Linked DNA regions of Tamandua tetradactyla. Each later gene encodes a partner of the first gene's protein in a complex. Links are inferred from orthologs where the notes say so. Each region holds a gene or a part of one and is shown in the gene's direction. Other genes may lie near its edges.

Region 1 (8,042 bases):
TCTGTCTGTTCAAGTCGTTGTATGCCTCAAGTGCATTTTAATTTCTTCTTTCATCCCCACAACCTGTTTCTTTTTATACTCAAATTCTTTATGCTCATACATTGTCTTCTTAATATCTTCTCTTTCTTTAGTCATATTTTCCTTCATCTCCTTGAACTGATTTAGGAGATCTGTTTGAACATCTTTGATTAGTTGTCCCAAGTTTTGTGTCTCTTCTGGAGTTTTAAGTTGTTCTCTTGACTGCTTCTTATCTTCCTGCTTCTTAATATGACTTGTAATTTTTTCTGTAGTACAGGAACTGATTATCTTGTTGTGTTTACTCTGAAGGTCAGTTTTTTTTTTTTTTTGTTTTTGGCCTAGGGTTTTATTGTTGGTTGGCTTTGTATTAAGTTCAACTTCTTTGATGCTTAGTTCAACTTATTCTAGACTTTTAACATAGCCTGTATTTAACTGGTCATATTTTTTTTTCAGCTCTTCATCTGATTCTTGTTCTGTATATGTGGCACAATTTTTAAGATTGCATTTTTTGTGCAGTTGTTTTACCTCTAGGAGAAAGCTTCCTTTCCTCTGCTCCTTCTCTGGGGTCTTCTTCTGTTCTGTTTTTGTTTTGCCTCTATAGTTTTTTAAACTCCTTTCATTGTCTCTAGCTGCTTTTGCCTGGAGGGCAAATTCTGGGAGGAGAGTTACCCCAGAGAGGAATAGGGTCAGGGACCCACAAAAGGGGCACAGATGGGTCCAGAGTGCCTGGGGAGGGGATCAGAAAGGATAGCAAAATTCTTTTTGATGCCTCCCTGTCCATCAAAGAAGGGGGTAATTGAGGGAAGTCCCTAGTCCCCTCACCATGAAGTCAGCTTTCCAGTGGATTCTCAGTTAACTCTCGTAGGCAGAAAGTGTGTGCAAGTGCCTGGGAATGTGGCTCCCACCCCTTGCCACTTTTACACTCAAGTCCCTTTGCCAGAACTGTAACAGCAGTACTTTACTTCTAGTCAGAACTGGAGGCCATTCTTTAGTAGGACCGGATGGCTTATTTAGGACACTAGATCAATGATCTCAAACTCAAATGCCTGTGGCATCTGGACAAGACCTAGTAAGAGAGGACCCAGCCAGATTGGTTAGGAGAACCAATTGGTTTGGAGAACTGGGGAGTTCAAACTCAAGTAGTTTCATGTATTCTTCCTGATCTCATCACTCGTTCCACTCCAAAAAAGTCTCTGGGCCTACCCCTTCTTAGCCTTTTCATTTGACCATCCTGATACCCTGTCCCCTTCTTTGAGCTGTGACCTTTCACTCAGAGCTCACCATCATTCTTCCTCACCTTTAGTTTCAGAATTGTCTTTATCATTATGATTTTGCTGGGTTTTCTGAAAAGCAGCCGTGGATTGTGAAAAATTAATGTCAATTTTAGTATGGAAATGTTTGATTTAGTGATCTCAATGGTGTGGGGACCTGACAAAAGAGCTTGTCAAAATACTTCTACTGGAGGGTAGCAAGGCTGATACCTTGTGTAATGAGCCCTTTTGAGAGCCATCTGAGGGTCACAGAGCAGATGTGGGGAAGGGAGACAATAATCGTGAACAATCTGACATCAAGTGGTTGTGGAATCAGGTATGGTGATTCAGCTCTAACCTAAATTTAAATATTGGTGCATATTTTTCTTATATATGCAAAATAAGCATATATAAGTTTTGTATCCATTTTTTTCCTAAAAGAAAACAGGATTCTTGGCAAGCGCAAGATTCTTTCACAGTATAGTCTTTTTCTGTTAGTAAATGTCATACTGTGCTTTTTTAGTTCCTCTTCCTTCCAATATGCATAATATATATATATGGGATAAAATCCATATTCTCATTGTGTTTAGAGTGTTTTTATGTAGCCCTGTACCTTATTCTTTAATTTTAATACAGCAAATTGCTTTGGAGAATAGCCATTCTCAATCTTTTCACTTCTCCCACACAGAAGTAATGCATAAATTGACACCAGCTTTGGTTCTGAGAATTCCCTTATCTGAGGTTAGCTGAAACTGTCAGCTATTTCTTTACCACTCAAAGAGATATATAAGGAACCTTTTTAAACCAAATACAAGACCCATCTACAGACCCATTCCCAAACTTGAATATGCCCACCTAGGACCTGTCTGTATCTCCCCTCTACTCCTTGGAAATTACTGTTAAAAACCACTGCCCCTTCAAGTAGGCCAGCAGAAGAACCTGGAAACATGCCAATCTGAACTCAAATCCCACTACTTAACATTACTGTGTGAGAGTGCAAGTTTTTATAATTATTTTAAATTTCTTTTTGGTTTGCAAAGATGGTGGTACCAATCTCTCCCATCCCAGATGCTCTTCCTATCAAGACCTGGAGTATTTTTCCATTGTAACTGGTCTGGCTTTGGAATCTGATTTTATCATAAGAAGTGGCAGATGTTGCAGAATTTCTGAGGCTAGGCCTCTCTTGCTGCCCTGAGACCATCATGTGAGGATGCCTGGACCGTCTCACTGCTGGAGAATGAGAGGCCATCTGGAGAGAGAGGTTCAACTGATAGTTAGCACCAAACACCAGATGTGGGTGAGGCTACTAGGATTATCCAGCTCCAGTCAATCTGCCAAATAGTCACATGAGTGTCCCCAGGTAAGAGCAACAGAAGACTCACTATTCAACCACAGGATCATAAGATATAATTTTGTTTTAAGGCACCAGTTTGGGAAGGGGAAGTTGCTATACAGCAATAGACAACAATTTCATAGTAGTAGCTAATGGTTAATTGAATGCTTTCTCCATGCCAGACATGGCACTAGGTTTCTTAATTGCATTCTCTCATTTCATCCTTCCAGTATTGCCTGTCAAGTTGGTAATATTATCTTCATTTTACATAAGCATAAAGATGTTAATTAACACACGTAAGGTCACCCAGCACTGAGCCCATGCTTTAACTACTAGGCTATTTGCTAAACGTTTAATTCTGTTGTCCCAGACTATACTGCAACCCATCATTTTCACTTTCTATCTCCTAAGCAGCCACCATTTGACTAAATATCATACATTCAGTAGGATTTACTGCTGTCTCCTATGGACCAGAAATTGTGCTAGGGACTGAGTATAAAAGTGAATCACGGTGGTATCTTGGTATCCAAGTTAAGCTGAAAACACACATACACACTCACCCCTACCTGGAATACGGGTCAAAAACACTGAGTGCCAATACAGGGACCTCTGAGTTACTATTAAGAGCTATTTTGCCAAATACATGCTATTGCCAGGCACTCTTCTGAGCATTTAACTCTCACACCTTCTGTGGGAGGCATGTTGTTTTCTTGTGTCTGTCAACCTGTAGATGAAGAGATAAAGGCTCAGAGATGAAATGTCTTGCCCAAGGTTTCACAGCCACGAGGTGGCAGAGTCAGATCTGGAATCTAGGCCCTTCTGGCTCTTTAGCTGTTCTCTTGCCCAGAAGTCACCCTGTGTTAGAAGACATGCATCCATGCATGCATTCAAAAATATTTACTTAGCATATGCTAAGGCCAGGTAATGTTATTGGGATATAAAGCCTCCGCCCTCATGGAGCTTATCTTCTAGTGAGAAAGACAGACAATAAACCAAATAAATAAGTGTATAAAGTAACAGAGTGGTAAGTGTTGAAAGAAAAATAAAGCAGGACAAGGGAAAAGGTAGGGAAAGGCTCTCTGAGGAGGTGTGAGCAGAGACCTGAAGGAAGTGAAGACCCCAGCAATGGGAATATCTGAGGTGGGAGGGGGAGGGCAAAGCCCCTGAGACTCAAGATTTCCTTGCTGGGTTTGAGGAACAGCAGGGAGACCAGTGTGGCTGGAGCTTGATAAATGAGGGGAAAGTGGAAGGAGATGAAGTTGTAGAGCAAGGCAGCAGGATTTCATTGCACATGTACTGGGAAGTCATTTGGAAGTGGAGAGCAGGGCAATGAAATAATCTGATAGAATCCCAGTTTATCATAGAAGGATTCCTGAGGCTGCTGTGAAAGCAGAGAGACCAGTTAGGGGGGCTCATTCAGCGATCCAAGATTGATGATAATGGCTAGGGCTGTGGCGGTAGCAGTGGAGGGAGTGAGGAGAGTCAGATGCAAGACATTTCGAAGACAGAGCTCACAGGATTTGCTGATGGACTGATTATGAGGTGGGAGAGAAAGAGAGGAGTCAAAGATGCTTTCAAGTTTGTCATTTTGATTTTTTAACCTAAGCAATTGTGTGAATGGTGGTGTTGCCTCTTGTGAGATGGGAGGCATGTAAGAATTAAGAATTAGAATTCTTAATTCTAGGAAGAGAGGATAGAATTAAGAATTCAATTTTCAAAATTTTAAACTTAATATCCATATTAGGCATCCATATCAAACAAGAGGCTGGATATAAAAGACCCAAAGTTAAATGAAGGGACCAGCGTTAGAGGAATACACTTGAAAGTCATCAGTCTTGGGACTGCATGAGAGTCATTCATTCAACAACAGTTATTGAGCTCTTATTTTGTGCTAAGCAGTGCTCTAGGCACTGCCAAAGAGAACAATACACAAAGAAACCCCCTACCCTCACAGAGCTTATGTTCTAATGGGGGTGGGTAAGCTAAGTAACAAAAATATATAGTATGTTAGATGGCAATAAATGCTAAGGAGAAAAATAAGGCAGAGGTGATGGGTGGAAAGGTATTTTTAAACAGGTTGGCCCAGGAAGTCCTTACTGACAAAATTTTCTTTGAGCTTAAGCGTGAAGGATGTTTGGGCATGTGCTGACGTACATGCCCCCTACTAGGCCTGTGGGATGAGCATCCCTGGCAGCCGCAACAGCAAATGTAAAGGCAAGAGAACGTGAAGCAAATTCACGGAAAAGGCAGAGAAGGTGTGTCTGGAGAAGGGAGAGGTAGGAAGAATCTATTACGTAAAGAGAAGGGGAAGGCAGATCGAACAGGAACTTCTCAAAGGTTCTCCGAGAAGTCCAAAGCTTGAAGCCCCGCCCCCGTCCGGAACGCGCGGCGCAGCACGGGAGCCGGAACTCAGCCACCTGGTACCGGGACCGGAAGTGCATTTCTACCCGGCCGCATTTTAGTAACGGCTCCATTTCCTGTAGCGGCGGCGGGAATCGGATCGCTGTCGGGCGTCTAGGCCTCTGCAGAGGCCAATCCGGCGGGAATCGGGACCATCGGGAACCGCCACCATGGTGAGGGGGCGCGGGCCGGCGGCGCGAGAGTCTCCGAGTCTGTATTGGAGTGAGGGCCGCGGCTGCGCGGGGGGAAGAAGTCATGGGTTGGATCTGCTAATGGCGGTGAAGGCCCGAGCCGCGGCCGCTGGGACCGGGTAGAGGCGACCTGGAGCCTGCAGTTCGGCGTGGTGGGGAGTGGAAAGTTGGAACCCAGGAATGCAGGGTGGGGGGGAGCGTGTAACCGCTTCTCCCGAAACCGCTATAGCTACAGTGCCTGGGACTTGGTAGCCACTAAGTAAACTTGCTGCATAAGTATATGTCCGGGCTTTCGGCGCCGGCACCAGGAGCCGGAGGTGGGCCAGGGAGGACCGCGGAAAAGGCTCAGACTTGTGAAAGAGGGTGAGGGGCGGAGACCGAGTTGCGGCGTCCGGTGTGGGGTAGGGCGGGGAGTTGTGGCCCGAAACAAAAGATACTTCCCGGGAGACGTGGATGGGGAAGAGGGAACGGGAGAGTGAATGAGATTATTTGGAGGAGTTCAACTCACTTATTTAGTATATCTGTACTGAGTGTCTGACTTCTCAGGTTCTGGGGCTACAAATTGAAATGTGTCACCGAGTTCGCATATCCTTGGGGACACGGATAATAAATAATCATAACACAGTGTAACTAGTTCAGCGTTAGGCAAAAGTAACGGCGCAGGTTGATGCGGGGTAAGAATGCTTTCGGGAATGGATGATTCCTGAGCAGAGTCCTAAAAGATTTGTCAGAATCTTTTCCAGCAGAAGATGGAAGGAAATACTATATAGACTGGGAATTGCAAGAGCAAAGGCATGTAGGGTAGCATAGTTAAAAGTTACTGGGGGTTGGGGCGGGGCGGGAGAGGGGAGGAGGAAAAGGAAGGAAGAGGTAGAAGATGAGACTGGAGGACGTGGAAGGAGCCTGGTTACTAAAGGCCTTCGTGCTGCTTTATTCTGTTGGTGATGGGCATGTCATTGAAGGATTTTAACTAGCAAAATGACTAGACTCTGTGTTTAGAAAGATTACTCTAGCTGTTTTGTATTGGGTGAGATTTGGAAGCAGGGAAACCTGCTCGGTTACTGTTTGGAGAGTTGGTTAAATGAATAATCACTGGATTCAGGCCGACTGGGTTCTAACAGCTTCCCAGCTGTGAGACAAGGCAAGTTACCATAACCTCTCCTAGCCTCGATGGCCTCATCTGTAAAGTAGAAACAATAAGGGGATCATTTTGAGGATTAAATAAATTGACAGATATTTAGTGCTTATCAAGCATGTAATACACAGTGAACACCCAATAAGAATTAACTGTTAGAAGGCTGGTGAATGTTTCCATAAAGGTTTAGCTCCTTGTGATTAGAACCAGTTGAAAAGGTTATGTATGGGAGACAGACCCATATAACCAGGGGTCTCCCAGGTGGCACAGTACCTTGGTGGAGTCAAGGCTCTGAACCATGCATTTGTAAGAAGGTTCAGGACGTTGTCCTGGTGTGGGTTCAGGTAAACAGCAAGCACAGTGCCCACGACAAGAAGACACCCAATAAATAGGATGACTTCAGACTTGCCCCACATCAGACTGATGGGAGACAGATACCCAGATCAAATACCAGGTCATTTGTTTCTTGAAAGAAATCTGGAGGTCACGTTAAAAAGCAGAAATTTGTTGGGTTAATTTAGAAATAAAGTGTAGCAAGTTACATATTCTCAAAGGTCATTATGTGCTCAAATAGATTAGTGCTTTGGCTACCAGAAAATTTCCCTCTCTCAGAAGCACTTGGGGATTTCATACTCCTAACCTCCACGCTGATGAACTCCTTAGTGATAAGTTTCTTGTTGATTGGATTTCAGCCTTTTTATCACCAGTCCTATTCCAACTCTTTACTCTTTTTTTTTTTTTTTCTGGATGGGCAGGTTCCAGGAATTGCACCCGTGCCTCTAGCATGGTAGGCAAGAATTCTGCCACTGAGCCACTGTTACACTGCCCTCTCTGTCTTTTTAATCATATGGGTGTTCCATAGCACTTGGGTCAAGTCTATAATCTGCACAGTGGCAGATTATTAATCTCATGATGAGTAGATTTGATTGGTTTGGGCAATCCTGTACTCTAACTCCTGAAACTCTGATAACAATAATGCAGTATGAGAAAGATTAACTTTGAGGGGAGAATAGCAAAGCAGTGGGCATAGGTCAGGGCTGAAAACGGGGGTAAGATGGGAGAATTCAGGGAAAGGTCTATGAGTAGCTGGCAGCTGAGAATCTATTGAGAAACATAGGTGCATAGAAAAGAAGGCCTGACCCAGCTTCAGGAAGGACCAGGACCAAATGGGTGGAAAAGAGCTTGAATCTCATCCCCATTGATTTCTCCCTGCAGACTGTGGGCAAGAGCAGCAAGATGCTGCAGCACATCGACTACAGGATGAGGTGCATCCTACAAGATGGCCGCATCTTCATTGGCACCTTCAAGGCTTTTGACAAGCATATGAACTTGATTCTCTGTGACTGTGATGAGTTCAGGAAGATCAAGTAAGGAGGGGGCTGTGGGGCAGGGGGAGGTTGAGGCGGAGGACATTGGATGGGTGGGCCAAGTGACAGGTGCTGCTATAACTTGCCAGTTCCTCTCTTCCTGCGTTCACATTTTAGAGGGCAGACTTAAATGGGGTTATTGGACACTAAGAAATCTCCTTCCTTAGCGCCCAGCAAGCCTGAGTTCTAGTCTAGCAAAATAAAAGTTGTGAGGAGGGCTGCTAGGTTTTTGTTTCTCTGACCTTGTATGCCCCTGAGTACTGGGGTAAAGGGCTGTCGTGTTCTCCCTACAGGTGTGTAAGGGGGGAGAGCTTGATTTTCTGGCCTCATTGCCTATTTGTAAAGCTG
Region 2 (7,512 bases), on another chromosome or scaffold:
ACCATCCTCTAAGGTAGATATTATCCTCATTTTTTGAAATAAGAAAATTGATTCTCCAAGTTTTGGAGTTAACTTGGAAGTTAAATTATCCAAGGTCACAATAGAGTCGGGGTTGAAATCCAGCTCACTCTATCTTCTGCAACCCAATGTTTATTCAAATATATTACCCTGCTGTCATCAATTGTCCACCAAACCTCCAATTCATGTCATTTCCAACTTGGTTTTTCTCATGGAGTATCTTAACCTAACTTAATCATTAAAGCCTTCAAACTTTAACACTAGCCCTTCTATTTCTAAACCACCAAAATGAATTCTTGCATTCCTCAAAACAAACTTTAAAAAAAAATCATATCTTACAAAAAAAAAAAAACTCCCTTGACAAACTCCTTCTGGGTCCATCATTCCATCCATCCCATCATGTGAAAGAGCACTCATATCCTATTAACCGTGTAGCCTTCATTAAGTCACAAAATTTATTTGCATTCATGAGGAAAATGAAAGTCTTGGAATTCAAAGGTTGTAAACAGCCTGCCCGCAGAAAAGTTAATTTGGGCAACGGCATTTTGTCTTAATCCAATTCAATATCTTTAAATGAGGCATGAACTCTACTGACTGCCACAGGCCCTGCCATTCCCCTCATTTTACATCGACCACTTCTCCTAGTTCACTCATTTCTATTACCTATTTGGCCCCTTGTATGCAATTAAATTTCTAATCATTGAATTACAAGATCTCAAAGATTTTACATTGTTATCATGGGCATTATTAATACCTTTTCCACTTAGTTTTCGTATGGACATAACCTGTCCTTTCCATTAGGAAGTTCAGAATGGGCATTCATTAAATTCTATAACTTCAAACTGGAAAGGGCCTTAGAGATTATCCTAGCAAAATCCAACACTATTCCATATGTGAGATAGATGAAAAGACTGAAGCCAAAACTGCTTAAGTTACTCGCTCACTGTTTCCAGTGTAAGTTGGTGTGGGATAATTCAAATCCACAAATATTAACAAAGTAGTTTGAGCAAGACCCTGAGCTGGAGCTACAAACAGAAGCAAAAGTATCCCTACCACTTCAGGATACACAAGCTAGTAAAGGATACAAATATATATATATATGAAGCCATGATCCGAGGCACACATGCTAAGAGGAAGGAGAAAATTTCAGTTTTAGTGAAATCTGGGAAGACGGCCCTGAAGGGAGAAACATTTGAACAGGGGCTTGAATAATGAGTTGGACTGGAGTTATAAATAGGGAAATCACAGCACAAAAAAATGGCAAGAAGCAAGAAATGCACAGTATATTCAGAACAGGTAAATCAATATGGTTGTGAAGTAGCATAGGAAAACTGCAAGTCCCTTCCTATCCAGTTCTGAAAGAGTTAACAGATAACTGGAGGGCCCTGTTTACTATCCAGCTCTTAAAAAGAATTAATAAACAACTGAAGTCCCTTGTTTCTTATCTAGCTCCAAAGGAATTAATGCAAACCGCAAACTTCAGTTGTAAACTTCATGGAACAAATACTTCCCCTAAAGCCCCCAAACCATCAAAACCTCCCCAAACCATAAAAGTTTGTAAAATAATGAGCCCCAAACAACCTCTTCGTTAATAACAGAAAACCTGGAATTGTAAAGATCAGCCCAAAAACAAATTTTGGATACACGACGGGTTGGTCACAAGCATCAATAGTCATCTCTTCCTGAAACAATGTTAGCCCTATAAGCACCTGGTTAATATAAACCTTGTAGAAACTGTGCAAAGAAGACATCTGGTATTCAAAGGTTACTATGGAAACCTGCCACCAGTAACACTTTCCTACAAAACAAGCTAACCCACTTCACTCACTGCATGTTTCTCCCTTGAACACATCCACATTATCTCTTTAATGTGTACTCTTTCACTTTCTTTAATAAACTTTACTACTCATTCCTACTGGCCCTCTCTTCTCCAAATTATTTTAATTTCGAGACTAACAAACTGGAACAGGGCTCAGTTGGCACTATTGCCAGCAGGGTATCGGTTACAGTTGGGGGTGGAGCCAGAGAAGGTAATGTAAGAAAGCAAACTGCAGACAAATTCTAAGAGCCAGTGCTTTCCATTTTCTTCTTTAGCCCACGTCTTCAATCCCCTGATCCAAGAAGCTAAGACAGGGCTAAATATAACGGGAACTCAATAATAACGTATGACCATAAAAATAATAATGACAGCCAAGATTTAGTACCTGCCCTACATTGTACTAAACACTTCATATATATTATCTCATTTAAGATTCATTAATCTCACATTACATAAGAAATAGCTCAAGCTTAGAAAGGATAAGGAGTTTTTTTTCAAAATCACATAGTCAACAAGTGGATTCACACCCAACCACACACCAAAGAGATCTGAGGAGACTATCCATAAAGACCAGAGTTCAGAAAAGATATCACAATTGTTCTTGGTTAATGGGTAATAGTGATTTGCACAAGATATGCACCTTGGTGGCGGAAAAATGGAGTAACAAAGCAGCGACTCTGGCCGTCTTGTTCGTCTCTGCACCCTAGAGTCTAAAGCAAACCTTGACACACAGGCTTTCAGTAATTGGGAGACTAGTAAAGAGGCCTTGTAACCTTTTGTAACCTCGAGACGAGAGACCTACCCCAAGGCCAGCTTCCCCCGGCTCCTCAGATTCAGCATCCATAACGTACCTGCAACATAAACACAAGTCGTCAATTCAGACTCCTACCTCCACTCCCTTCTTCCGTCCTGTAATTACTAAAAAATCCTCACCTAACTGTTCCATTATGGCCGCCGCCATCTTCCCCCTCCTACGGAAGCCTCCGAGTTCATACACCGGCGGGAAATGACGCATGCGCAATACCCCGGATTTCCTACCCATCCTAGACCCAACAGTTGCTAGTACCAGCCGCGTTGTCATGGAGACTGGGAACACCCGTCTGGCACTTAACCTGTGGTTAGGCCAGCATGCTTGGGAACGAATGACTTAATAAAGGCCGAAAAGTACTGAGTTTCCGGAAACTCACCGGGATTCAGAAAAACTGCGAAGCCTCACCTCACAAATGGTCTGAAAGGATTAGGGAAACAAGTCCATAAACAAGCCGCATAACCCGATGGGCCTCAGTTTACACGACAATAAAATACAGATAGAAATAACTGTCGCTACACCCCAGGTTTGCTTTAAAGATCGCTAGAGATCAGGTGAAAGCTCTTTCAAAGAAGACACTGTTCAAATACAAAGTATGAAGGCCTAATAGCTACTAATCTCCAGGATCATCTCCAAGAGATGTTAATATTCACCTGACACTTACTACCATATACATCCCACCAGTTATTGTACTAACTAAATCTCATTTATTCTTCAAAGAAATCCAGAGATACACGGATTATGTTCCTTCGGATGGGAAAATATTTTCGATAAATTAACCTTTCAGCTAAAAACTGGCAAAAACAGAGGTCAATTTAGGGCTGGGTGCCTCCATAGTTGATGCCCCTACCTACTATCTATGCTTGTCCTCTATTAACGATAGGTATTTCAGGTTTCGGTTTGATATATATGCATGAGTGCTAGATCCAAACAAGCCATATAGGAGTGGGTGAGTGTTAAGTACAGAATCTGCATGTTTTGAGTTGAAAGAAAACTTCTATTCCTTTTCCTCCACAATAACTTACCACTTACAGTTCCCTTCTAACTTGGCACTCAATCAAGTAAATAAAAAGAATCAATCTATTCTTGCTTCTCTTTAATCTTTGAGTACTAAGAACCCAGAGTCAGAATTTCTACCCAGTTATCGAAACGGTTCCTTCATCCTTTTATGTTTTGCTAATTGGTCTCTTAACAATCTTTATATAAAGAGCCTCCAAAGCTAGCCAAGTGGCCTCATATTGAGCGATCAAAAAATATTTAAAGCGAGAATGAGAATGGTGATTGAACAGGTTCGAAGAATAAATCAGCAGTGTGGGGATGTGACTCCATCAGTTTAATCCCTTAATTATGTATCTTTGCTGTGAGAAGAGAGAACGCCTAACCCCGGGTACGGAAGCAGGCAGCAGTAGCCCCTCAGTCCCTGGGAGGGGTGACCCTCAGAAGGCAGACTAGGTTAAGTTGGCAGATCACAGCGGGCGTAGCCCCGCCCTTCGCAGCCCTTAGGCGGAGGCGGGAGCGTAGCGAGTGGTGTGATGTGGACCTAGGAGCGCGCCGTAGGGACGAGACTGAGGAGGCGGGGCTCCAAGCCCGCTCCGCCTCCCTTCCGGGCTACGGCGTGGGACTGCAGACAGCTTCGGCGGCTGCTCCTTCAGTCCCGGCGGCCTCCGGTCATGGGGCAGGAGCCGCGGACTCTGCCGCCTTCTCCCAACTGGTACTGCGCCCGCTGCAGCGATGCTGTGCCCGGGGGCCTTTTTGGCTTCGCGGCGCGCACCTCAGTCTTTCTGGTCCGCGTGGGCCAGGGCACTTGCCCTGGGACGCCCCCATTTCGAGGTAATCCCTTCCCCGGGGCCCGGGCCTTCCTCTTCCTGCGCTCCTCCGGGACGCCGAGTGGGCATCCAGACACCCATTTTCCTAGAGGTAGGCCGAGACAGGGGAAGCAGTTTAACCACGATCACTCAGCCGAGTCGCGTCCAGGTGTCCAAGATAGAACTGTGGTCAACAGGTCCCGACTGCTGGCCCTTGCACGTGGGACCGCTCGCTTACTTAGAGTTTAGCCCTATATGGTCCCAGGCTTTTATAACATTTGTGGCGTCTCTTCCCTAGTGTATGCGCAGGTCCCCTAGAAGATTTCTGGGGTATGGGGGTCTGCCTCCAGCTGTAGGGCCTAAATAAGAACATGCAACTGTGTGATCTTCGTTTCTGTAAAATGAATAGGTTGAAACAGATGCTTTCAGCTTCCAAACTAGGTCTTAATTGTGCCTTGGGATATGACATGCCACATACTTAGTTTATTCCAAACGATCTCTGATCAGATCAAAATAAGAATCACTTTCACATTTTTCGTTTGAAGGTGCTCCTTAGCTTCTGAATTAGACATAGCAAAGGATATCAGCATCATATTATAGTTGAGAAGACTGATGCTCAGAGAGAGAAAATGACTCGTCTAAAGTCACATGGCCGAGCCAGTGCCAGAACTTGGGGTTTTTGATTGGGTCTGTACATCTTTTTGTTATACCGTGAAATAACTAACTCCATAGCATCTGCTTGCCCACCAACCAGTATGATTCTACCTGGAATCCTGGGTAGAAGCTTTAATTAATCTGGCATTTGGTTTTGCTTAAAGTTATAGGGGAGTTGGTGGGACACACCGAAAGAGTCTCTGGCTTCACGTTTTCTCATCACCCTGGTCAATACAGCCTCTGTGCCACCAGCTCCGACGATGGGACTGTGAAAATCTGGAATGTAGAGACAAAAACAGTTGTGGCAGAACATGCAGTCCATCAGGTAACATGGCTTAATGTTTTCTCAGATCACTTTTATATTTGTGCTGGGAGTTCTTTTGCTTCAGCTATACATTTGCTAGCTCATCTGTGCAAGGTAGCTTCTATAATTGCATCTATTAATTAGATTAGAAGCAGTATATTTAAAAAGGAAAAAAAAACAGTATATTGTAATGTATCTCAAAACTATTTTGAAAGGAGCTGCATATAAACCAGAGGTTGGCAGGCTACCCTGTTGCCTGTTTTTGCTAATAGTTTAGCAATTAGGGCATGGCCACACTCATTCATTTAAGCATTATCTGTAGCTGCTTCCATGTACGGCAGAGGAGACACAAAGCCTAAAATATTTATCTGGTCTTTTAGAGAAAAGTTTGTTTACCCCTTATATAGTTCATTGATGAATCAAGAAAATTCATTTCTAAACAAGATGATTGGTGTACCTGCCTTTTGAGAAAACAAAGGAAAGGAAAAGACTTGCTTAATCTTAGTACAAATTTTGCACAAAAGCTATTAAAGGAAGAAATGGGTCTTTTGAAAAAATGATTCTTCCCTAAAAGCCTACATTTTTCTATTATTTGTTAATAAATCTTGCTCTACAACTAGTACTAACAAGTATTGTTGAGTATCTATAATGTGTTAGCATTGTGATGATGTTTAGTAAGGGTTAAAAACTCAGCATTGGCAAAAGGGAAACAAAGACATTTTTGTTTGTTTTAAAGCATACGATATCAGCCTTGCATTGGTCTCCTCGAGTAAAGGACTTAATAGTATCTGGGGATGAAAAAGGAGTAGTTATCTGTTACTGGCTTAACAGAAATGACAGCCAGCACCTCTTTATAGAGCCCAGGACAATTTTCTGCCTTACTTGTTCACCTCATCAGGAAGATTTAGTAGCCATTGGGTGAGTATTGTGCCATTTATATTGATGGTTTATTTTTGTTTATGATCATATTTTACCTTTGCTTTACTTCCTCCCATCCGTTTATTCCTCAAAGGAGCCTGTTTGCAAGTGCTTACTGTCGTCCCCCCCACCAAGCCCTTGGCATCATTTCCTGTGACTTCCAGATCCTTATTGTCTGTCCCACTCCCTCTCTTTGTTTGTTTCCTTAGTTTCCCTGATACTGTACTTTCCTCATTCTTCTTCATATCTCATTCCTCCTGTGAATTTCTAAATGTCTTTTTTGAACTTTTACACTCTCTACCCTTGCCCTTGGATATAACATTTACTCTCTGAGCATCAGATGACTTAAGATCTGACTCTCTGGTGATTAGCTCTTCCTCTAGATTGGAAAAATGATCCCATCATTGGGACTTGTTATTAAGTTTGTTTCAGGTGAGCTGCCTGAGTAGGCATCTCCCTTTCCCTCAACATACTGTGACCATCTCTCCCAAAGATGTCTACTCCGATGAGTAAAACATATGGATAAAAGATAAATAAATAATAGGGGAAACATGTTAAAATAAATTTAGTAGATTGAAATGAAAGTGATCAGTGAAAGGGAGGCATAACGGGTATGATATGTATGAATGTTTTTCTTTTTCCTTTTTATATCTTTTTCTGAATTGATGCAAATGTTCTAAGAAATGCTCATGATGATGAATATACAACTATGTGATGATATTGTGAGTTATGGATTATGTATCAAGAATGAAATGATCATATGGTAAGAATGTTCGTGTTTGTATGTTATATTTAAAAAATAAATTGATTAAAAAGAGACGCCTGTTCCTCTAGTTTGAAAGCAACGTGAGTAATTTCACTAAAATGTTGGAGGGGAAAGTCTGATTGAAGTCGGTTCAAAACACCGGGGGTAGAGATGCACGTGGAGACAACTTTTTCACAGTATTTACTGTAAAAAATGTTCAGCATGAAGCCAGAGGAGGGGGCCAGGGGTCTAACTGGAAGACGACAGTGGCATCTTTTTTATCCTGGTGGAGGTTAATCAGAAGAGAGAATGATTATGCAGGGGTAAAAGGTGATGAGTGGAGGAATGAAGCTGTTTAGAAGTTAAAAGGGAACTGGCTGTAGATACATGCAGAAAGAACTGACATTATGGTAATGGTGCAGGTAGGTTTGTAGATCTGGT

Evidence for each region. Proteins that work in one complex are often made in the same cells at the same time.
Region 2: SNRPB (region 1) and GEMIN5 share a complex: the UniProt entries of both Homo sapiens proteins name them as parts of the SMN-Sm complex. The link is inferred for Tamandua tetradactyla from reciprocal best matches to the Homo sapiens genes SNRPB and GEMIN5.

The regions. Positions count from the first base shown.
Region 1 is NC_135327.1:24,251,607-24,259,648, reverse strand, and holds the start of SNRPB (small nuclear ribonucleoprotein-associated proteins B and B'), read left to right. Parts: upstream 1-5,031; 5' UTR 5,032-5,171; coding exon 5,172-5,174; intron 5,175-7,542; coding exon 7,543-7,694; intron 7,695-8,042. UniProt on the Homo sapiens protein: Plays a role in pre-mRNA splicing as a core component of the spliceosomal U1, U2, U4 and U5 small nuclear ribonucleoproteins (snRNPs), the building blocks of the spliceosome.
Region 2 is NC_135346.1:35,940,544-35,948,055, reverse strand, and holds the start of GEMIN5 (gem-associated protein 5), read left to right. Parts: upstream 1-4,167; 5' UTR 4,168-4,315; coding exon 4,316-4,475; intron 4,476-5,268; coding exon 5,269-5,429; intron 5,430-6,144; coding exon 6,145-6,326; intron 6,327-7,512. Other genes in the region: MRPL22 (large ribosomal subunit protein uL22m), read right to left, coding at 2,640-2,688, 2,771-2,852. UniProt on the Homo sapiens protein: The SMN complex catalyzes the assembly of small nuclear ribonucleoproteins (snRNPs), the building blocks of the spliceosome, and thereby plays an important role in the splicing of cellular pre-mRNAs.